Linked DNA regions of Caenorhabditis elegans. The protein of the gene in region 1 interacts with the protein of each later gene in a pairwise test. Each region holds a gene or a part of one and is shown on either strand. Other genes may lie near its edges. The genes, in order: gsr-1 and nhr-53.

The links.
Region 2: the proteins of gsr-1 (region 1) and nhr-53 interact in a two-hybrid assay, tested with the Caenorhabditis elegans proteins (one large-scale study listed by BioGRID).

What each region holds. Positions count from the first base shown.
Region 1 is NC_003281.10:3,644,859-3,656,809, forward strand, and holds gsr-1 (Glutathione reductase, mitochondrial), read left to right. Parts: upstream 1-6,048; 5' UTR 6,049-6,117; coding exon 6,118-6,152; intron 6,153-6,470; coding exon 6,471-6,725; intron 6,726-6,780; coding exon 6,781-7,138; intron 7,139-7,188; coding exon 7,189-7,660; intron 7,661-7,716; coding exon 7,717-8,018; 3' UTR 8,019-8,100; downstream 8,101-11,951. Other genes in the region: Putative potassium channel regulatory protein unc-93, read left to right, coding at 1-59, 261-464, 511-607, 1,212-1,321, 1,367-1,501, 1,754-1,894, 1,958-2,083, 2,130-2,221 and 6 more; madf-8 (MADF domain-containing protein), read right to left, coding at 4,055-4,178, 4,594-4,746, 4,797-4,989, 5,036-5,163, 5,214-5,341, 5,389-5,451, 5,732-5,838, 5,883-5,889; C46F11.5 (RING-type domain-containing protein), read right to left, coding at 8,224-8,301, 8,349-8,443, 8,490-8,618, 9,150-9,270, 9,312-9,471, 9,543-9,700, 10,093-10,289, 10,942-11,118 and 2 more. UniProt on the Caenorhabditis elegans protein: Catalyzes the reduction of glutathione disulfide (GSSG) to reduced glutathione (GSH). Constitutes the major mechanism to maintain a high GSH:GSSG ratio in the cytosol. Involved in resistance to oxidative stress and starvation.
Region 2 is NC_003283.11:15,696,711-15,707,948, reverse strand, and holds nhr-53 (Nuclear hormone receptor family member nhr-53), read left to right. Parts: upstream 1-5,585; 5' UTR 5,586-5,589; coding exon 5,590-5,711; intron 5,712-5,896; coding exon 5,897-5,982; intron 5,983-6,039; coding exon 6,040-6,242; intron 6,243-6,491; coding exon 6,492-6,687; intron 6,688-6,742; coding exon 6,743-7,128; intron 7,129-7,183; coding exon 7,184-7,285; 3' UTR 7,286-7,343; downstream 7,344-11,238. Other genes in the region: twk-34 (Potassium channel domain-containing protein), read right to left, coding at 1-153, 794-1,092, 1,517-1,639, 1,685-2,114, 2,225-2,306, 2,765-2,819, 2,876-2,890; Nuclear hormone receptor family member nhr-199, read left to right, coding at 8,050-8,174, 8,219-8,552, 8,612-8,807, 8,859-9,421; srx-29 (7TM GPCR serpentine receptor class x (Srx) domain-containing protein), read left to right, coding at 9,750-9,788, 9,845-10,005, 10,051-10,197, 10,569-11,021, 11,086-11,164. UniProt on the Caenorhabditis elegans protein: Orphan nuclear receptor.

The DNA.
Region 1 (11,951 bases):
GTATTTTCCTTTCGAGACATGGGCAGGGAACAGCAGAAGGCAGAGGTTAATGAGAAGTGGTAAGGGGTTTTTGAATTTGCGCGTCAAATTCGGTGTTTGCATTTTCCAAGCTCGAGCGACAATGGCCGAGGATTTTTCTCGGCCATATAGAAAAACCGATCTCTTGCGTTTCTAAGTTGCTACAGCCGCGAAAAAAAACATCGGTGGCCGAGTTTTCCAATTTTCCCGGCCACGAATCAAAATTCGGAATTTATTTTCAGCTCCTACTTATTCCGTGGCACCTCATTCGACCACGACGATCATTTCGAACTTCCCACTGAAACAGGCCGTGTTCCAGAATATGATCATTTTTGCCCGATTCATGGATCCAGGCGAAGACTTCCACGTAATAAATTGGTCACAATGCAAACTCTCATGCATTCGGTAGATGATGAAGATAATGAAGATTTGGCTTATATTTATGGGTTAGTTTTCAGAGAAATTTGAATGAAAATTTTAATCGGTTTTCAGGCACGACTTTCTGGCGAAATTGGTTAGGAAGAAGAAGCGAGAAATGATGAGTGGAACGGAAAAAGAAAGAGCTAATAAGATTAAAAGGAAAATTATGGTAATTTTCAAAACGTGGCTGCGAAATGGGAAAACTAGGCCACCACAGAAAACTAGGCCACCAGAGAAAACTAGGCCGCTAGAAAGATAAACTAGGCCACTAGAACGATAAACTAGACCGCTTGAAAAACTAGGCCACGATCAAAAAAGCTACTACTATTGAAAAAAAAAACTAGACCACTGGACAAAAAGCTAGGCCGTTCGAAAAAAGACACTAGAAAATAACTAGGCAGTTTTTAATTAATTTCATTAATTAATTGCAATTAATCAAGTTTCAAAAAATGCGAAAACTCGGCCACCGACTTTTTTCGCGGCCGCGTGGTTCAAAACTATGAAAAAAATAACAGCAAAGTCGGTGGCCTAGTTTTATTGTCTCTGCCAAATGACACATACGATTGTAAAAATGGCTGGGAAAATCAGTGGCCTAGTTTTTTTCTAGTGGCCTATAATTTCTCTAGCGGCCTAGTCTTGATTGCTAGTGGCCTAGTTTTTTTTTTTTTCTGGTGGCCGAGTTTTCCTTTCAAATTAGGATACTTAGGATATATAGTGGCCGAGTTTCCTGTTTTCGCCACTTCAACTAGACCAACTAATCGAATCATTTTCAGTCAAATCTCTGGATTCTGTCCGTGGCTTTTCTCTTCCTGTTCACTGCATTTAACGGACTCCAAAATCTTCAAACTTCCGTCAATGGAGATCTCGGATCTGATAGTTTAGTGTAAGAACGTTTTGAATTTCAATTTGAAAAATAATAATTTTTCAGAGCCCTATATTTATCACTTGCCATATCATCATTATTTGTTCCATCATTTATGATAAATCGCCTCGGGTGCAAATTAACATTCCTTATTGCAATCTTCGTGTATTTTCTATACATTGTCATTAATTTGAGGCCGACGTAAGTTTTTGCGTTTTTTGAGCGCTTGTAACTCAGAAACTAAAATAGTTAGCAAAAAACTGTCAACTAACAAAATGTTAATCGATTTTTGATCTACATTTTGCTAGTTGACAACTTTTTGATATCTTTCACCTATAAGAAGTTATGTGCATTTGAAGAGCTAGAGATATAAAAAATTTATTGCCATTTATTTCCGTTTAGAACTTTTTGCTGTTTAGCATTGTTAGTTCTAAGCTACGTGGCTTTTTCCAGATACTCTTCTATGATCCCTGCTTCAATATTCTGTGGAATCGCGGCTTCATGTATCTGGGGAGCCAAATGCGCGTACATTACAGAAATGGGAATTCGATATGCTAGCCTGAACTTTGAAAGTCAGACTACTGTTATTGTTAGGTAATGGGCTGATTTTCTAAACCTTTTTCAAGCTTTTCAAGCTTTTAATCAAGCCAAATTCAGATTTTTCGGATATTTTTTCATGATTGTACACTGCGGACAAGTCGTCGGAAATATGGTATCCTCTTATATTTTTACACTGTCCTATTCGCAAGCCCTACGCGGTCCTGAAGATTCTATATACGATAGGTTTGCCGAAATTTTTTTTTGAAGTTTTAAAATTTCAATTTTCCAGCTGTGGCTACCAGTTTCCAAAGAATTTATCAGATCTTACCGAGTTGGCGGAGAGCAATCTTGCTCGGCCACCACAGAAAGTTTATGTAGCAGGTGAGCCTACATACCTACATACCTACATACCTACATACCTACATATCTACAAACCTACATACCTACATACCTACATACCTACATACCTACCTACCTATACCCAATTTTTTTTTAAATTTCAGTTTGTCTGGCATACCTCGCTTGTGTAATAATCAGTGGAATGATAATGAGCATGTTCCTGAATGCTTTGGCCAAAGATGCTCGGAACAGGTTTGCCTACTTCCAGTCTTCTCTTAAATTTGGCTCTGAGGTTTCAGAAAAATGGCTCAAAAGTTCAACTCGGAAATTTTCTACCTCATGCTCAAACATTTAATCAATATAAAGTTCATGTTGTTGGTGCCGTTGACGATTTTCAATGGTTTGGAGCAAGCTTTTCTAGTTGGAGTTTATACAAAGGTTAGTGTTACGTGGCCGTTAAGAGGGTAAACTCGGCCACGTCACTAAATCGCAAAACTGAAAATTTTCTTCCAGGCATTCGTCGGATGTGGCCTTGGAATTTGGCAAATAGGCTTTGTGATGGCCTGCTTCGGAATCTCCGACGCAGTCTGTTCCCTAGTCTTCGGGCCACTGATCAAGCTTTTCGGTCGGATGCCTCTTTTTGTTTTCGGAGCAGTAGTGAATCTATTAATGATTGTTACACTTATGGTATGATGCACCATATTTGACGCGCAATTTCATATCTCCTCTCAGGTTTGGCCACTAAATGCAGCCGACACTCAAATATTCTACGTAGTCGCTGCAATGTGGGGTATGGCAGATGGTGTCTGGAATACTCAGATTAATGGATTTTGGGTTGCACTTGTTGGAAGACAGTCTCTACAGTTTGCATTCACTAAATATCGATTTTGGGAATCTCTTGGAATTGCGATTGGATTTGCGTTGATTCGGTGAATTTTTTTTTTGGCTTTTGCCGCATTAAAAATTTATGGGGACGCATCCATTTTGTAATCGATGTGGAAACGCGCTCCACGGGCAATTGAAAACGCTCCGCCCCCTACAGTAGGGTCTCGTTAGGTAGTTGTGGTGGGACCTTGTAAATTCAAACTTTTTCAATTAGTTTCGCCGATTTCCATGCATTTTTCGTTTTTTTTGTTATATTTTCCGTTCTTTGTAAGGATTTTTTCGCCGAAATTGATGAAATAAAGTGGAATTTAAAAATTGAACTATTTTTTAAACTAAAAACGTATTTTTAAACATAATTAGTGGAAAAAATGACGAAAAACATTTTTAGAAACACAAAAAACATTTAAAACGTTAAAATTCGCGTTTTGGTCCCCAATACCTAACGAGACCCAGCTTTTGGGGGCAGGACATTTGCATTTAGCCGTGGAGCACGCTTGCACCTCAATCTGACTATTCGCATTTTTTGCGTCTCCATAATAATGTTGGCCGTGAAAAAAACAGGTGGCCGAGTTTTCTTTTAAATTTCCCGGCCACGCTAGATTTAACTTGAAAAATAATTGAATTTTCAGACACGTCACAGTTGAAATATATTTGCTGATAACATTCTTCATGCTACTTTTAGGAATGTGCGGATTTTTAGCAATTGAAAATTTCGATCACATTATTGTAAGGCTGATTCGAAGAAATTAATTTTTTCTAATTTTAAATTTTCCAGAAATTTTGGCATCACTTAATTCACACGTCATGTCCAGAGAAGGAACCGTTGGATGATAGAAATTCAGATTTTGAATGAAAATAATTAAAAATCAAAAAAATCAGTTAATAAATTCGTACTTTATGTTTTATTAAAAATTCGAAAAGTCGAGAAGTATAACAAAATGCAGTAAAATGAGAAATATGTGATAAAAATTAATAAAACGTGGCGGGTGGCTAATTGAGTTTCAAATTGCTAGACTCTGCGTTTTTCTTGAAAATTTTCAGAATTTCCAGTCCATGCTCAGCCATCATTTCGGGACTCGACATTCCGGTGTCGTAGAGAGATTTTAGAAGAAATCTGGAAAAATTTAATAGGATTAAGCCGTATGTGTCGATTTACGCAAGTCGTGTACTCCTCGAGAAGAAGAAGAACACAGTTTTCGGCTAAAATTCTTGATTTGGAACTGTTTGAGCTAATTTTTTCTGTATTCGAGTTTAGAGCACCGTTTTGTAGTTACAGTAGTTTTCGTGACGGGACCCAAATTGGTTTAGCACCCGTCGAGCTGTATTCAAAATTCCTGCTGAAAATAGAAAAAGGATTTTTTAATCATGTTTTCTATACTTTTTTTGTTTTTTGAAGTTTTTTACAGCAAAAGAATTGGCGAAGATGGTTCAAAATAGATCAAAATATACCCAAAAGTTGTGAATTTTTAAAAATAAAATGCAAACTTCTCTTCGAGGAGTACACTTTTTATGTTGGGAATTTTCCTCACGTCAGAACATTTTTCTTATCACCAGGTGTGCATTGGATATTCTTATCAGCCAATACTAATTTATCATGAACACTTTGAGATGGCTGAGCGACGGTTGGACGGAGACAGAATGTCGTTCGGAAATTTATCATTGGACGGTAGAACTCTAATGCACTGAAAAAATTATTATTTTCATTTCATTATTTTCAATTTTCCAGCCGTACTCTGCATAAATCCATTTTCTCAGATTGGCGGCGTTCACCGCTGATACGAAATAATCTCTTTTACTCTTCCAGATTTGTTTACGCCGAGCCAATGGATACTCTTCATCTATTCCAAGTTCCAAGTCGAGTTGATCCCAAGCACGGCGAGACAAATTCGAATTCCGATGACAAATCAGGCGTTGATCCCATAGGACTAAAAAGGGAAATTTTTGGAAAAACTTCTTGATTTCCTGACTTACTAGGCCTTTTCCGAACTGCATATATAATATCGTACACTTTTTCAGGCTCCGCGTAATCGATTTTTGTAGATTGGCGGACCCGATTGTACTTAAAATACTTGTCTGAGCGTGTTTGCACAGTCAAATCACTGAAAAAAGGATAAAAAAGAAATCTGATAATAAATGTTTTAATTCATACTTTCCATCATTCTTGAGCATATCGGCTGTAATTGAAGGAATGTACATCGAATTGTTGGATGCTCGATAATAAACTGTTTCGGGAATAATTCCGGCATCAGTTTTCGCTTTTAATTCTTCGTAATTTGTCTGAAATCTTTGAATAGAATTGAAACGAATATTATAAAAAGCTGTACCGGAATATTGCGACAAGATCTTCTAGTTGGTCCAAGACGAAGTTTCTTCGATTCGCTGGCGCTCTGAAAAAATGTTTGATTTGTCATCATTTTTTCTAGTTTTCAGTGAAACTTTTGTCATCATTTATTAGTTTTTTCTTGTGCCTGATTGAATTGATTGAAACTACATATAAATAATCACTATTTTAATTTTATTGCCCACTCGCGCTCTTTTTGGTTTTTTTCTAATAAAATTGTCTTTCTTCTCTGCGCACTCCACTATTGACCAAATCAGTGTTTCTTTCTATTTGTCATTGCCCCGACACTGCGAAGAACGTTCGCGATTGTTCTTTGTCTTTTTTACCTCTCTTAATTCCTCCGTTGTAATTGATTTCAAGTCGTCATCGAGTTGTTGAAAATCGGCAAACACTTTTCGCTTCACTATTCGGCCGCTTCGAGATTTTTCAACTTCTGAAAAATTGAGAGATTCATATAGACCATTTTTCAACATTTACCTGTCATTTTTTATTCCAGCGTGCGAATCCGTTTGGAAAATTGAGCGGAATTTTTAATTTCCAAAAAAACTTCTAAATTTCAAATTTTAAACTCTTCGCGCGCTGAAAAAGGGGCGGAGTTTTCAATTCGCAAAATGGGCGCGAGCTATTTGCAACTTGGGCGCACAATTTAGTCCTTGATGTTTGTTTATTTTTTGCTGATCAAATGTCTAAAAACTTCTGTGAACCCTTCTGAATGCTCCGATTTCGCTGCATTTTGAGCACTTCGAGGTATTAAATTGTTACTTTTTGGTTTAAAAAAAGTTTTTGTAGTCTTTGTGGAGTCAAATTTCCATAAAACCTCTCGAATTTCGGAAGAAGGGCGGTCACATGTTTGTAGTCGCGCTTTGCTATCTTTGTAATTTGTCATCGTTTTTGCGTCAGTCGATTTTGAGTATTTCATTCGAAAAATAAACTTTAAAGTCCACTTCGCGACTGAAAAGAAATAAAGCTTTGATTTTTCTGCGAATTTTCAATCGCGCCTCTCTTTCGATGTTCTTACAAGTTCTGTTATTTTCCAACTTTTAATTATTAAAATTCGAGTTCCAGGTCGATCATGTCTGGCGTCAAGGAGTTCGACTATTTGGTGATTGGTGGAGGATCTGGAGGTATCGCTTCTGCTCGGCGTGCTCGTGAATTCGGAGTTTCCGTCGGGCTCATCGAATCTGGACGTCTCGGAGGAACTTGCGTCAATGTTGGATGTGTTCCGAAGAAAGTTATGTACAATTGCTCTCTCCACGCCGAATTCATCCGGGACCACGCTGATTACGGATTTGATGTGACGCTTAACAAGTTTGATTGGAAGTGAGTAATTTTTAATTAGTTTAATCAAATAATTCTTAATTGTTTTGTTTTTTAGAGTGATCAAAAAATCGCGAGATGAGTACATCAAACGACTCAATGGTCTTTATGAGAGTGGACTGAAAGGATCCTCAGTCGAATATATTCGAGGACGTGCAACTTTTGCAGAAGACGGAACTGTTGAGGTCAACGGAGCGAAGTATCGTGGAAAGAACACGCTCATCGCTGTTGGAGGAAAGCCAACCATTCCAAACATCAAAGGAGCCGAACACGGTATTGATTCCGACGGATTCTTCGATCTCGAAGATCTGCCAAGCCGGACCGTTGTCGTTGGAGCTGGTTATATTGCCGTAGAGATTGCTGGAGTTCTCGCAAATCTTGGTTCAGACACGCATCTTCTTATTCGTTACGATAAGGTACCATGAGGAACATGGAAACTTTTCAAGTTTAACTAAATAATTTTCAGGTTCTCCGCACATTTGACAAAATGCTCAGCGATGAACTTACTGCTGATATGGACGAGGAAACGAATCCACTTCACTTGCACAAAAATACTCAAGTCACAGAAGTAATCAAAGGAGATGATGGTCTTTTGACAATCAAGACAACGACTGGAGTCATCGAAAAGGTTCAGACTTTGATTTGGGCCATCGGAAGAGATCCACTGACAAAAGAGCTTAATCTGGAACGTGTTGGAGTGAAAACCGACAAATCTGGGCATATTATTGTCGATGAGTACCAGAACACATCTGCTCCAGGAATTTTGTCTGTTGGAGATGATACTGGAAAGTTCCTTCTCACACCAGTCGCAATTGCTGCCGGACGTCGACTCTCTCATCGTCTGTTCAATGGTGAAACTGATAATAAGTTGACTTATGAGAACATTGCCACAGTGGTTTTCAGTCATCCACTTATTGGAACCGTCGGACTCACGGAAGGTATAATATCTTTAAAATTTAATTCTTTGTGTCAAATTTAATCCCCAAAATTTCAGCTGAGGCCGTTGAAAAGTACGGAAAAGACGAAGTTACCCTCTACAAATCTCGCTTCAATCCAATGTTGTTCGCAGTCACCAAGCACAAGGAGAAGGCCGCGATGAAGCTTGTTTGTGTCGGAAAAGACGAGAAAGTCGTCGGAGTCCATGTTTTCGGAGTTGGATCCGATGAGATGCTCCAAGGATTCGCTGTTGCTGTCACAATGGGCGCCACGAAGAAACAATTCGATCAGACTGTCGCGATTCACCCAACTTCTGCCGAAGAGCTCGTTACTATGCGAGGAGGTGTGAAGCCGGAATAATTTTTTATTTATTTATTACATTTTTAAATTTGGATCAATTTCTTTTGACTTTCTTGTAGATAAAACATTGCAAAATTTAAAATGCATGGCAAAAAAATTATTTACAGGTTATGCAAAAAAATCTAATTATGGTGAGTGCTACATATTAACCCGATGGGTAGATTTTGGTAGGAAAGGATTTTCAGAATTAAAACTGCAATTGAGACTATTCGAGAAGCTCATATTCGTCATCGGCGGCCACTTCTGATTTTTTAGGTTCTCGTCGCCTCCGTCGGATGGTTTTCTGCAAAATTTGGAGTTTTTTGGAAATTATTAAAAAGAAGAAAAAACTACTTTCGGAGCATCCAAATCGAATTCCTCATCACTGGATTCCGATCCATTGATTGCTGAGAATTGAAGACCTCGTTCGAATTCGAATTCTTCTTCTGAAATTTATTAACTAAAATAATTTAAAGAGTCTCTGAAAATAACCTGGAATCGGCGAAGAAGACAATTCCGATTGAATATCTTCATTATCATCATCATCCACATGATTCTCATCGAGATCGGTTTCATCGTTCACTTCTGGAAGAAATCCTTCGAGTTCCACATCGCTTTCTTCTGAAAAATCGATATTTAAAGTAAAAAATTGCTTAACAAAGTGAAAACGCGCTCCAATGCCAACTTTATATAGTCCACCCTATTCTCGTGGGTCTCGCCTGGAATTTCTAGCTTTTTGTCGTTTTTTAAAACATTTTTCGGTAGTTTTAATCATTTCTATGTCAAAATTGGTTAATTAAAAATTTTTTAGATTCATTTTTACATGGAAATCAGAAAAATAGAGGAAAAGTGTAAAAAGCAATTTTTACCATTTTAAAAAATTTTGTCTACTCCTTCGTTTCTCGTAAAAAAGTTTTTTTTTCCGAATTAATTAACTCGTTTTCAATAATTTTTAGATTAATTCAAACAGGAAAAATAGGGTTGAAAAAAAAATTTTTGTCTAAAAAGCCCTTTTTATTTTTATTTTAATGTAAAAAATGATCAAAAAATCGCTTTTCCGTAGTGTAAATTTCCGTTTTTTTCCAGACGAGACCCAAATAAAAGGGGCAGATCGATGGGAGTTTGCATTGGAGCGCGTTTCATAAGACGCACCACAAAATGGATTTTTCTCGGGAATATGATCGATAACTGTCTCACAGACTGGGCCAATTACGTGGATTAATGCACTTGTCTCGATGATTTTATATCGACTATGGAGATAATTTACAATGGGCTGAAAAATTGAATTTTTAAAATAAAATTAAAAAAAATTACCTCCAGGAGCAAGTGGTACACAAAAATCGAGACCTGCTTCCCCACCTCAACCATCAGACAACAAATTGGCCAGAGAATCGAGTCTCGCACGGAAATTGCAATTCGATGAAGGGTGTCGCGGAGCCAGCAACGGAGTTTTTCAAATTGGCACAATAGGAATCTGGAATTTTTTTGTTTTTTCTCAATTACTTTAAAAGTATAGAATAATGAACCTAGAACTCTCAAACTAACCCCTTAACCGGAACCCAAATATGCTTATAAGCCAATGCTCCAAGTGATTTCAACTGCTTAACACTGAATTTCCAGAGTGGTGGGAACCAGTGAGCACAGAAAATATAGACAAACACGAAACAAAGTTGATCGAAAAGGTAGCGGAGGGGAACACCGATCTGAAAAATCTTGTGCTAATCTGTATAATTCTATTGTAGTAATGGGGGAACACAGGCCAAACAATACTCAAATTGGCCCCCAAAAGAACGGAATTTATTAGCCTTTTTCAAAATTTTGTCGAGTTTTTTTGCTTATTATTCTCGTTTATCTGACGATTTTTCGTTGATTTAAGTACATTTTGAGCTGATTATTCAAAGAATCAAATAAAATTAGGGTTTGAGGCCATTATAAACATAGAAAAGAAGGCAATAGAAAATTTTCTAACAATTTGAGGAAATTATGAACAAAAAAAATAGGAACAATGAAAAATTATGACGGCATTGAATGAGCAAAAAAGAAGCAGGGAAAATTTCATAATAGAACTGATAAAAAACGAAATTAAAATGCTTACATTCAATTTCAGCCACTCTTTCAACGTCGGCCACCATTCTGCACAAAACCAATATCTGAGGAATTGACGAATTCTCTGAGCAACTCGTTTTGTTCGTTCTACGATCGCCACGTGGATCCAGTTTTTGATACCATTGACGAGTTCACGACATGATTCACGGAAATTGAAGATAAAATGCTTTACGTAGGCGATTAGAGCTGTAAAAAGAGAGGGGGTTTTCGATTTTTTAAAGAAAATATTTCAAATTTTTTGAAAAATTTTTTTTCAATAAATTATGTTTTTTTTTCCTGAAAATTAATAGCTTTACGGGAATTTTTCACAAAAAATTTGAAACATTTTTGCTTCGAATTGATTTTTTCTGGAAAACTGGCAATAAATAGATTCGATTTTCGATTTTTCGGAAAACTTTTAATTTTTAAAAATGTTCATAAATAAATAATTTTAAAAATCCCAAAAAAATATAGTGTTTCGGAATTTTAAATTAAAAAATTGGAAAATCTAAAAGTTACCGTATTTTTTTGATTTTTCGGGAAGAGAAAATTCCAATTTCCATTAATATTGTCAATTTTTTTCATAAAAAAATATTCTTAAGTTTCTCATATTTCCGGAATTGGTTTTTGAAAACAAAAAATTTAATGTTTTTATTTGGAAAATTTTTTTATTTTTTTTATTTTCAATTTTTCAAATAATGTACTTATTGCCAATTTTAAAATTTATTTCAATGAAATTTTCATTTTTCTTTAGATAACAAACATTTACAAAATTTCGTACAAAAATCATAGTTTTTTCCATTTTCCGATTTTCTCCGAAAATTCAATATTTTTGTGAAAAATATTTTTAAAAACTTACGTGGAACCCATCGGAAGAGCACAATATATTTAGTATACTCATATACAGTAACAACTGGAGTAATAATAAGATATTGAATCCAACTTCCAAACCAGGAAACTGTCCGCCGCGTTGCTGACGCTATTTTCGAGTTGACTTCGTTGTGCTCCCACACTGGATTTACAAGGAGACACGCTACTGAAAATGGAAAATTTTTTTTTGTTTTTTTTAATCTAAGAGACTTAGTATTGCGCGACATATCTCGTAACGAAATCTACAGTAAGTGACTTTAAGTGACTACTGTAGCGCCTGTGTCGATTTACGATTTACGGGCTCGAGTTTCGAAATGAATTGGAATCTTTTGAAAATCGACACAAGCACTACAGTAGTAATTCAAAGAGTTACTGTAGTTTTCGCTACGAGATATTTTGCGCGTCAAATATGTTGCACAATACGCATTCTCAAAATTTCATGTTTTTATAATACTTACAAGTTGCATAAGCAGCGTAACAAGCCAACCGAACTTGCTCAGCACGTAATAAATGAATGCTGTAGACTGATCCACCGACTGACAGCGTCTATAAATAAACATTAATTTTTAGTCTTTTATAATCGGATTAAAAAATGGATTTACTCTGAATATAGATTGAAATGGCCACATTAAAAGATGTGTGATGATTGAACGATCATTTGAAGAGGAAAGTAGAATATCCCAGGCAAAAACTCCGGCGGATGCAGTTGCTAGAAGAGCTTCTTGGATACGAGGATCACAGTAGATCACACCGATCCTGAAAGAAAGAGGATTTTTTTAAAATGAAATTGGTTGAATTTTAGGATTTTTAAGTGCAAAATTTTGGTTTTTTTTTCAGTTTGTTGTGGTTTTTTCAGTGAAAATATAGATTTTTTGCTTAGTTATCGCAGAAATGATGATTTTTCTTTGAAAATTTGGTGTTTTTTTATTCATTGCAAAAATTGGTTTTTTTTTTTCATTTTTTTAAAATTTTCTATGAAATTTTTTTAAAATTATTTAT
Region 2 (11,238 bases), on another chromosome or scaffold:
ATTCCACTTCCAGATTCATCTCCACTGAGCTCATCGAATACGTGGATAAATATTGTGCAAAATGCAAGGTAAAGAGCCAGGAGTAGGAGACAGGCTTTGATGGGGATTTTGATGATTTCGTTTACGTCTATACTTGTGTCTCCGTTTATTTCTCTGAAAAATTATTCTCAGGGAATTTGAGCATTAAAAAAATTGGCATTTTTTTACAAAACTTCGATGAAAAAATCCTTGTTTTTTTTTCAGAAAATAGTAGTGCTTTGTGCCACTAATTACAGAAAATAGCAATTTTTCAAATTTGCGGAGAAAAAAAAAATTAATCAATAAATTATTGGTAGGATTCATTTTGAAATTTTTGTCACAACTTTACCCAAGAAATTCATTTTTTTTCCGTGTAAAAGGTTTTTTTTGTTATACCTAACTAAGTAAACTATTAAAAAAATCATTTTTTCGTTTTTTTCTGTTGAAAAAATGTTGAAAATTCTTTCGTCAAATTTTCAAACATACATTAAAACAATTTGATAACCCGAAAAAAATTCTGAGACTCCAAATTTCATTTGCGAGGAAATTTAATAAAAATCAGCCTATTTTTTTTTAATTTTTGCAAGTTGAAGAAAATAGCATGAAAAACAATTGTTATAAACATTTTCAGATCATTTATTACAAAATCCCAACATTTTTCTTGATAAATCCAAGCGAGATTTTAAAATTTTCCAGTTTTTAATAGTACCAACATTTTTCTAACAAGACAAAATTTTTTAAGAATGCTCTTTGGCTCTACCTGCCTAAAACTCACCTCCATCTCTGTATCAATTGAGCATAAAGTTTTGTTAAATGCACCAAGAAAAACTGTCCAAGATCCCTGAGCGCCACAAGTGTGACGGGGACAAAAATGAATCCGTACAGGCAGACGAGAACCTGTCCAAGTATGGATTCCGGTGCGATCGACCCGTATCCGGTAGTTGTATAGACATTCATACTGAAGAAAAATGCACTTTCGAATGTCCATTTCCAGTTTTTCCCGTGATCTTCCAGTTTGTAGTAGGTACTTCCCTTGTACTGCCCCTCGAGTTTCATCAGTGATACGTAGGCTTCCTATAAATTAGTATTTATTAATTATCAGGATATGGAACAGAAAACAGCTTCCTATAGAACCCCTTCTGGCGTCGGCCGCTGGCAGACTAGGTACTTGTGTGGTGTCGGACGCTACCATAATAACGACCTGTGCGGTATCGGTCGCTAAAAAATTAAGAACTCATGCGATGCCGGGCGCTAGCAAACTAGGAAGCCGAGTATTGTCGGCCGCTAGCAAATTACTAGCCGGACGTTAATTAGGAAGAACCCGGGTAGTGTCAGGCGCAATCTTTGGCCGCAACAGTTCGGTAGAAAATGTTATTAGTGTGCTCACTATCAGTAGTCCGGGAGCTCCGGGTGCACCCGACACCGCCCGGGTTCCGCCACTCAACCTGAAATCTTACTGTATATTTGAGGCCCGCGCAGCGTCCACCAGACAACTTACCCTAATGTAAACTTGCATTTCTGCCTCCGTCGTTGTTGTATTTGGATTGTTCACGATTTCGGTGATATTTGTAGCAAGTATATTTAGCAAATTCTCCAAGTTAGTGACACGTTCCAGAGTAACCTGAACTTGCGAAATTTTTAGATTTTGCGACAGAAACAATCCTACAGCTCTTTCATTTCGACTTTCCACTGTCCAAAACATGAATGCTCCAAAAATCGTGTAGCTCAGTACCATCAGAGCCACCATTATATGTCTGAGACCAATTTGTTTCCGATGGAATGCGAACCAATACATGGATCTATCAAAGTGCCGGTCAGTTGGCATCACAGGTTCACCGAGAGCTCCTGGACTACTGAGCACACTAATTGCATCTTGTCTCGGCTTATATCTTCTCTGAAGCTGTCCAAATGTGTCTTGATTCCTTTGAAATCCTGATACGGTATGAGCATTTCTCTCGTAATACTTTTCGACGGCTTCAACCTTTGAAAGACTCGTCGATGAGTTGCTACGCGAGAGTGGAAGGTTCTGCATTGTTGGGTGAACACGGTTCTTTTTTCGCTCTCTTTCTTCAAGTGGGGTTAGCTTTGGCTCTTGGCTGAAATTCTGGAAGTTTTTGTTGTGCAATTTACAGAAAATGGTCATTTTGGAAATTTTAAAAATATCTTAAATCAAATTCTCAAAAATAAAAATTAATAAAAACCTCACCTTTCTTCTGCTGGAGCAACATTATTCACCGGCGGCTCCGGATTTTCCGGTTTCACCCCGCCGTCTTCCTCCTCGTCGATTTCTGAAATAAACTTTTTTTTCAAATTTTAAATTTGTCGTAATTTTTTTAAATGAAAAGTCAAATTCACTGTAAATTTTACACACTCAACTCAAATTTTCAATGAATTCGGAAAGCGAAAATCAGATTTTTTTTTAATATTCAGTTTTTTGACAGCAGACATATATATTAAACAACCAGTCTAATTTTTATGAGCAATTGAATTTTTCGAAATCTTGTTGCAAAATAACAAAATATCCAGGCAATTTCAAAGGAAAAATTCAAATTTCCAGTCAATTTTAAACGGGAGAATTTTTTTAGCAAAATGTCCAATGAATTTTAGTTGGGAAAATATATTTCAAGTCAAATTCAGTCAAGAAAACAAGATTTTCTATCAGTCTTAAGCTACAACACCTATTTCTCTTCAACAAAAACATGACACATCTACTATAAAAAAAATACAGTAATCCATTTAAACGAACCTTCCAAAACTGCCTGATGAGAATTCGCGGGACCATTTCTTGTCGGGATTGTCACCTAAAATCAATACAACTTTCTAGCTTAACCTTCAAAAATCGCATTTGACTTATTACCTTTGCGGTAATCATTTTTGGTCTTTGACGTGAATAGATCAAATGAGAATATCGTGCGACTTTTCTGAAGAAATTCTGAATTGACTGATATGACGAGACTGTATTGAAGGAAAAATAAAAAGTTAAAATGAAAAAACCAACGTATACGCGCAAAAAGTGACACAATGATATCACTGATATCACTTGAAGTGATAATCTCAGACACTTTTCATCTTTGTTCTCATTTCCTCACTGTTTGAAAGAGAAGGGGCTGATTTGGGGGACTATAAAAATGTTAATGGTGTCGTGCACTTTTCCGGATTTTCATATGTTTATTTTTTTGTGTTTCTATCAATTGATTTCTGAAATTACAGTCAAGATTTATAAAACTTCGCTTCTGATTTTCGAATTCGAGTTTTCAGAAAATGTTGTAATTGAAGTTTTCAAAAAAACTCTGACAATTATTTTCATAAAATACTGAGATTTATAATTTTAGAAAATGCTGAAATTTATATTTTCAGAAAATGCTGAAAATGAAAATTTTCAGAAATTTCTGAAATTGAAGTTTTTTTTTCCAAAAATACAGAAACTTAATTTCCGCAAAATTTGTTTGTACTTCCAAAATTTAAATAGCTTTTTTTAGAGATCTAGCCATTAAAAAACGTTTTTTAAAACAAAGTGTACGCAAAAAAATCACAGCAAAAAATGCATACATCATTTGCAACAGGTTGCATATTGGATCCAAACCTCCAAATTGTTTCACTTTTTTATTTCGTGAAAATCAAAACACTGTGACCATTATGACGTTTTGCAAACTTTTTTGAACTATTTAATCGGATTTTCACAGTTTTCAAAGCAAAACTGTTCGACTTTGTGATGACATCCCGCTGTGAAATTGACATCATTTTTGGGAACTGAACTCCAAAATTTTTAATCGTGTTAACAATATAAAAAATCAAAACTAAAAGAATAAAACTGAAATATATGTATGATGAGAACATAAAATTCGTGGAAGAAGTTATGAGTGGGAACTGAGCGCTATCAAATTTTTCAAAGTGAAAAATTATTACAGTATTTTTCATATCACTGAAAGCGCCTTTAAAAAAATAGAATTATCAATAAAATACAAAATTAATATATTTTCAGGTAGCGTTCAATTTATGAAAAAAACAGGAGACGAACAGTAATAAAACAATATTACACAATTTGTTTCAGGTTTGCTTTGACACCCTGTACCAAAACATTTCAACAATTTTTATTCATTGATTGTCTGATGGGAAAAAGAAATATCGATAAGTGATTGAAATGGAAATCTTCTCTTGTCGGGTTTCATTTGGATTTTGAACTTGCTAAAAAATTTCACCTTTTCGGGTAACGTTCTCGTGAACATGGACTGTGAACAGGTGGTAAATAAATACGCTAGTAGGCACGCAGGCAGGCTGTGGCAAGCCTACATTCAAACACCATCTATGGTAGAATCAACTTAGAAATGTGAGAGCTAATTTGCTGAAAATCCTGAAAGTTTCTATAATTTTTTCTTTTTATATTTTCAGAGAGCTTATTTTAAGGGAGTTTAAATCCCAAAATGCTTTGTAAATTATATTTTTATTAGATTTTTCCAGAAAAATTGAACAACTGCATATCTTGCAAATTGCAAGTTTACTTCGAAAAAAATTGAACTCTTCTGGCTTCAGATTCAATTTTTAAAATACTTTCTGCTATTAATTATTTCAGATAATTTGAATTCATTTCCCACATCACGTTCAAGAAGGCTTTTTTTCTTTTAGCCCAATCTCCAACCATTTTTTTCAATCCAATCAACATTTGTAGCACTACAGTGTAGTCAGTGTGTGTCAATCTGTTCCCTTTCTCTAAAGAAAACATCACAGTCCATTGTTCCGCACAGTTGATTTACTTGTGTATTTACTTTCAGTGCCTATCCTATTTGTAGTGCACAAATGAGAGCATTTTTATAAATGAAAAGAGTCTTCTAGTTCAAGGTATTTTGGTCAAATTACATGTTTCAATTTTCAAACAGTATAAGTTTCAATTTTTGAACATTTTAGATTTTCAATTCCTAATATTTTTTATTTACATTTCACAAATCACTCGCTACTCGGGAAACATCGCAGTTAGTGAAATATGAGAAAAAATTAGACTTTTCCAACACGGGATGCTCGCAATATTTAATTTTCCAATGAAAAGTTGCTCTTTAATCTGGTGAAAAAAAATTTTAGACTATGCTGCCTTACGGCTTATGCATAATTTTTTATTTTTTATTCATAATCTCTTCCTTAGTAGCCCACATAACTTATTTTTATTTCTTGTTTCAAGGTTTTAAAATCTGGTTTATTTTATATCAATTTTGCCAAAAATTTTCAAATCCTTGCATATTAAATTCAAAAGTGATCAATGATGTTATCAATAGGGAAACCATATGACGAGGCGAAAGGTGATAAAATGATCTGATTATTGTATTATTGAGTGGTGGCCGCCGTATTTTCACTTTGTTTCACTTCAGCCAACTTGAATTGTTAGTATCTTTTTATAGATTTTTCTTACTATTGATTGTTCATTTATTAAATAGAACTTATTATACCTGAATAAATAACATTTTCATGTTTCTTATGACATTTAGCTAATTCCACTTTGGATTATCCGTCTTTCTATTTTTCAACAAACTCATTTCCCTAATATTTTTATCATCACACATTTTCAACTTTCTTTTCAGAAAAATGCCTTCCCCAACTCATTTATTAAACAATTTCGAAAGTTCTTCTTCCCAAGGACCACCTTCATATTGTCTGATTTGTTGTGAAGTTGCTGATGGACATCATTTTGGAGCAGCAGCATGTAGGCAAGTTTTTTGTATGTTCCTGTAATATATCTACAGTAACCCAACTGTAAACGTGTTAAATATTCACAAAACGTGTACCTTGTGAGCAGAAGAAGCGCTGACAAAAAATATGTGGGCGGACCTCGGTCGATGTCGGCTGCAAATTTACTTTTTTTTCTCAAATAAATTTAACGATTATGTTTCAGAGCCTGCGCTGCATTCTTCCGACGCACAGTCCAACTGAATAAGGTCCACGATTGTCCGAAAAATGGTCAATGTTTTATCTTATCAAGTGAGTATCTATAACTACACCACTACAATTTGTATGGTCCGAACTACACATATTCAGATGTGCGTAACATGTGTAGAGCCTGTAGGTACGAGAAATGTCTCGAAGTGGGAATGCAACGATCATCTGTACAACAGAAACGTGATCAACTGGGGAGGCGAGACGGTTTACCGACGAACCGTGAAGAACCAGTTCTGGACACTATGCGGAGGGCGTATGAAAAGTTACTAGTTGTCAGGAAGAAGGTTCATAACCGGCAGGAGGTAGGGGTGATTTTATACGGATATTTGGATATTGTTAAAGGATGAAATCTGAACTTATGCTTTACATTTTTTTAATTAAAAAATACTCACAGTGAGGGTCGAACCCCCTAACTTTGTGTACAAGAAAACTCCCACTGCGCCGTTTGGGAAATTAAAAAAAAAAAAACTTTAAGAACCTCGAACATAAATTACAGAGTTTCATTTCGAAATTTTCAAAAAAATTACCAAAAGCTTAAAACTTTTTTCCAGAACCAACTTCCCCGAGCCATCAGTTTCAACGAGCTTCAAGTAGTGTATCAAAATGAGATGACTGTAATTTATCAATTCCTTTGCGAAGCATTTCCCGAGTACTCTGAGCTCCTTCCAGACACAAAACGATCGCTTTTTAAGAATTTTTTCCTACCATTCACACTTTTGGAGAGCTCATATTATGGATATTTGACGAGTAAGTTCCACTTTTTAGATAAAAATTAAAATTAAATCAAAAACTGAAATTTCAGAGCAAGAAAATGTGATGCTCATTCCTTCGGGCGACTACGTTGATTTGGCTCATCTAGAGTCATATTTCAACAATAATCATCACACGTTTTCTCAAAAAGACACTATTTCGATGTTTGCTCAGCAATTTCGAATGCTCCACACTTCTATAACTGTTCCGTTGAGTGCTGAAAATGTAGATGTTAATGAGTTTCTAGCTCTAGCGGCTATAATTCTCTGGGAATCCGATTTAGAAGTAGAAGCCGATCGGAAGAATGTTCAAGAGGAAGCTGTGAAGATTAAGAGCGCTATTATCAAGGATCTACTTTTTCACTATCAATCTATAAATGTATACGCTGACGTGGCAATGAGGCTTGGCGCTGTTTTGTCCATACTTCCTTCAATTCAGGTTTGCTGCTCGCGGAGCAACAATTTTTTGATTATAAGCTCAAAAGTTGTTTCAGAGAGCCAGTCACCGTTTCCACGAGTATATGGAAATCAAAAATCTGCTCAATTTGTATGCTCTGCCCAAGAATCTCTACGACATGTTCTCGCCAACTTCCTGAATTTTAATGTTTTTTTTAAATTTATTTTCTTAGTGTACAATAAACAAGTATTATTTTTATTTGTCTATAAAATTAAAACTTTTGTTAGAATTGTCCTGAAAAGCAGAAGTGGGGAATAAGAAGAAGAAATGTGCCGAATAAATGTACCGAACAATGCGACTTTGCAGTTGAGCAACTTTTTGAAATTTTTAATCAAAAGTAATGCTATTTTCAGAAAAAATAACTTTGGCAAATCCATAAGAAGGAGAGGATTTCGCAAATTCTGTTAATGCGCTCTGGTGGAGCATGCTCAGTTTAAAAAAAAGAGTATAATTTCGGAAAGCTGTGCAAACACGCCATGCAATTTTATAATTTTCAATAGGCACACGAGGTATAAAAGCATGCCACAACCATTGTTTTTCAAGAGTTTGTTGAGTTCTGAAATAACATCAGATTAAGCTGGAGTCCGATTTGCCTTTATGACTAATGAGCCTCGTGAATATATAATATATTGTCTCGTTAGCTCTCAGAGTGTTTGATCATATTCAAAACGTGTGTAATGAGTTCTATTTGGCAGACACATCACACAACAAATCTACCTCCAACTTTTTGATCTTACAAACTTATTTCTGCTTTTTTTAGTCTCTATATAGTCTAATCCAAGGGATTTTGTGAAGCTCAAAAATTCAAAAATCTCAGAATATTGTTATTCTTGTTTTTTTTAAATCCATTTGAAAACAGGTGCAGTTGCAGATGATAATTAATTATTCATTTATTTCAGAAACATGTTCACCCTAGCTCGTGTGTTGAACAATATTGGAAGCGCTTCATCCAATGAACCGATTCCATATTGTTTGATTTGTAGTGAGGTTGCTGATGGGAATCATTTTGGAGTAGCTGCAGCGTGTAGGTGAGTAACTTTTTCAAAAATTTTGAAATTCGTGAAATTTTCAGAGCTTGCGCTGCATTTTTCCGCCGCACAGTCCAACACAATAAGATCCACGAGTGTGGGAGAAATGGGCAATGCTTTTTCCTATCATGCAAGTTTTTATTGGTCGGGTTTCAAATATCACCACTAAGTTCAGACGCACGGAGCATGTGTAAAGCCTGCAGGTACGGTAAGTGCCTTGAAATGGGAATGCAACGATCATCGGTGCAACAGAGACGTGAACAACTCGGGAAACGTCTGAATATCTCTGATGATCGTGGAAAGCCAGTGCTTAATAAGTTGCGAAGAGCGTACGAAATGTTAATTTTAAACAGGAAACACGTGCATAATAGGCGGGAGGTAAGGACTGTTTAATTGTTCATATGAAATACTGATACCTGATCAGTGAACCATTTCAGAACCAAGCACCCCGAGCCATCGGCTTTAACGAGCTTCCAATCGTGTTTCAAAACGAGTCGACAAGCATATATCAGTTCCTCTGGGAAGCATTTCCCGAGTACTCCATGCTTCTTCCAGACACAAAACTCGCATTTTTCAAAAATTTCTTCTTGTCGTTCTGTCTATTTGAGAGCTCGTTTAATGGATGTTCAGCAAGTATGTTTTTTTTTCAGCCATAATTTTTTCATTCCATATCTAAATTTTCAGAGCAAAAAAATGTGATGCTCATTCCATCCGGTGACTACATCGATTTGGCTCATTCTGAATCGTTTTTCACCAACGATCATCAAACTTTCACTGAAAGAGACAATATTGAAATACTCGCTCAAAGGCTAAAATTAATACAATCATCTATAACTGTTCCGTTGAGTGCTGAAAATGTAGATATCTATGAGTTCCTCGCGCTTGCGGGTATCATTCTCTTGGAATCGGATTCTGAGTCAGAAGCCGATTTTCAAGAAGAAGCTGTGAAGATTAAGAGCAATATCATCAAGGATCTACTTTTTCACTATCAATGTATAAATATTTATGATGACGCAGCAATGAGGCTTGGCGCAGTTTTGTCCATACTTCCATCAATTCAAGTTTGTTGCTCGCGGAGCAACAATTTTTTGATTATAAACTCTAAAGATGTTTCAGAGAGCCAGTCACCGTTTTCACGAATACATGGAAATCAAAAATATGCTCAATTTGTACGCTCTTCCCAAGAATCTTTACGACATGTTCTCGCCAACTTCATAAAATTTATTTGTAAATTTGTTTCTATTTGATTTTTTTTAAATAGTTATACTGTAAATTTTTGATTCCAGTAGTATTAATAAAAATGTACAAAACTTTGGCAGCCACTTTTGCCGAGTACCTCAGAGCGCATTTGCAATTTCTATAACTGTTTTTTTTAGTTTGATCTACGAAAATGCGCTGATAATCTCTAGCTGTAAATTAACTATTATTTTTAATAATACATCAATAGTACCACGCCGTTGGCTAGACCGGAAATTAAAATGCACAGTTTTTCATATTTCCTTCAGATTTTTTTCATCACCATGATATTGTCTCATCAAGCTGTAAGTTACTCAGAAAACATTCTAAAATTTCCCAATGTATCAGCAATTTGTCGTCTCCGCAATCACCTTTATTGTGAGTTTTTGTAAAACGTAGTTGATAGAAGGTACTGTAAACTGCTCCAATTTCAGGTATCATTAATAGGTATCCTCTCAAATATAGTTTTAGTCCTTGCAATCCGTAAAACGTACTCCATGAATGGCTCTTTTGGGATAATCACTAAAAACCAAGCAATTTGTAATATCCTGACCTGTGCAATATTTCTAGTGTATGTTTTCCCTTTACAAGTTAGGTAGGTGTTACAGGAAAACAATTTAAAATAGTTTTTTTTCTAAAGATACTCACCTCCTATGATTCACATCTCACATTATGTTGGAAACACTTGCATGACAATTTACGAGATTTCGAATTTATCTCATTTATTGATTGCTCTCAATCGATTCTGCGTGCTATTTTTTCAGCATCGATATGAGCAACTTTTCAGGTAATTTTGAGCAATAAGTGGTGCGGGCGATATGGGGGAGGCACGTGGTGTCAGGCAGTACCATTTGATCTACAAAATGCGGGATTTTTTTGCCCAGGAAAGTGCGGCGTCGGCACGCTGTTAACCATGCAAAATCGGTTTAGAAATCGGCGTCTAAATTATCGCAAATCTCGCAGGTCAAACCGAAATGTGACACTCTGACACCACGTGTGGAGAGCGTAAAAAACGTCTATCTTCCGTGGGTGCCTAAAACAGCAAGTTAGTAACACATATTCGTGCACCAGACATCTCCCGGGTTCCGCCACAAGATGCGCTGTCTTGAAACCCTGCAGATGTCGGGCGCTAGCCGTAGTCACATTTCTCTCTTCCAGTAACCCGAACACAGTAATCATGCGGAATTACTTGTGGATAACTTGTATTATATTTTGTGCAGTCTGCTATGAGTTCTCCAAGTGCTTCCTCAAATACAACCCCAACCACTGGTCATTCGAATTTGAGAATTCGGATTTTTGCGATTCTCTGATCTGGTATTCGGATTTCCTTTTCAACACGGGAATCGATATAATCACTTTGTTTCTGAATTTACTGACTGCTTACAAAGGAAGAAAACAGTCACGAGTTCTGATAAATGCGGCCGGATTGAAAGTTTCCGCGATTCAACGGAGAAGAGAATGGAATTTTGTGAAGCAGACCTGTTTTCAAGGCTTATCGATATTTACAGGCCAGGTTGCTTTTTATTTTGTGGCTCCAGTCATTGATGCAGACTGGGTCATTGCTCAATTTATTGCTGCTACTTTTTGGGTGTTTATCCATGCCGCAGAGGGGTGAGTTTCAGGCCTACCTGAGTGCCTACAGGTCATATCACAGTTGCTTTCCAAACAATTTCAGAGGAATAATTTTGGCGTCTAATGGAGAACTGAGAGCTGCTTTTAAGAAAGGTATCAGCCAATTTATTCATTTCACTTAATTTGTTTTCAATTCAGAATCCACTGCAGTTTTCGTGATTGTTCGGAGGGTGTCGGTTTTGTAATTTTTTTGGTA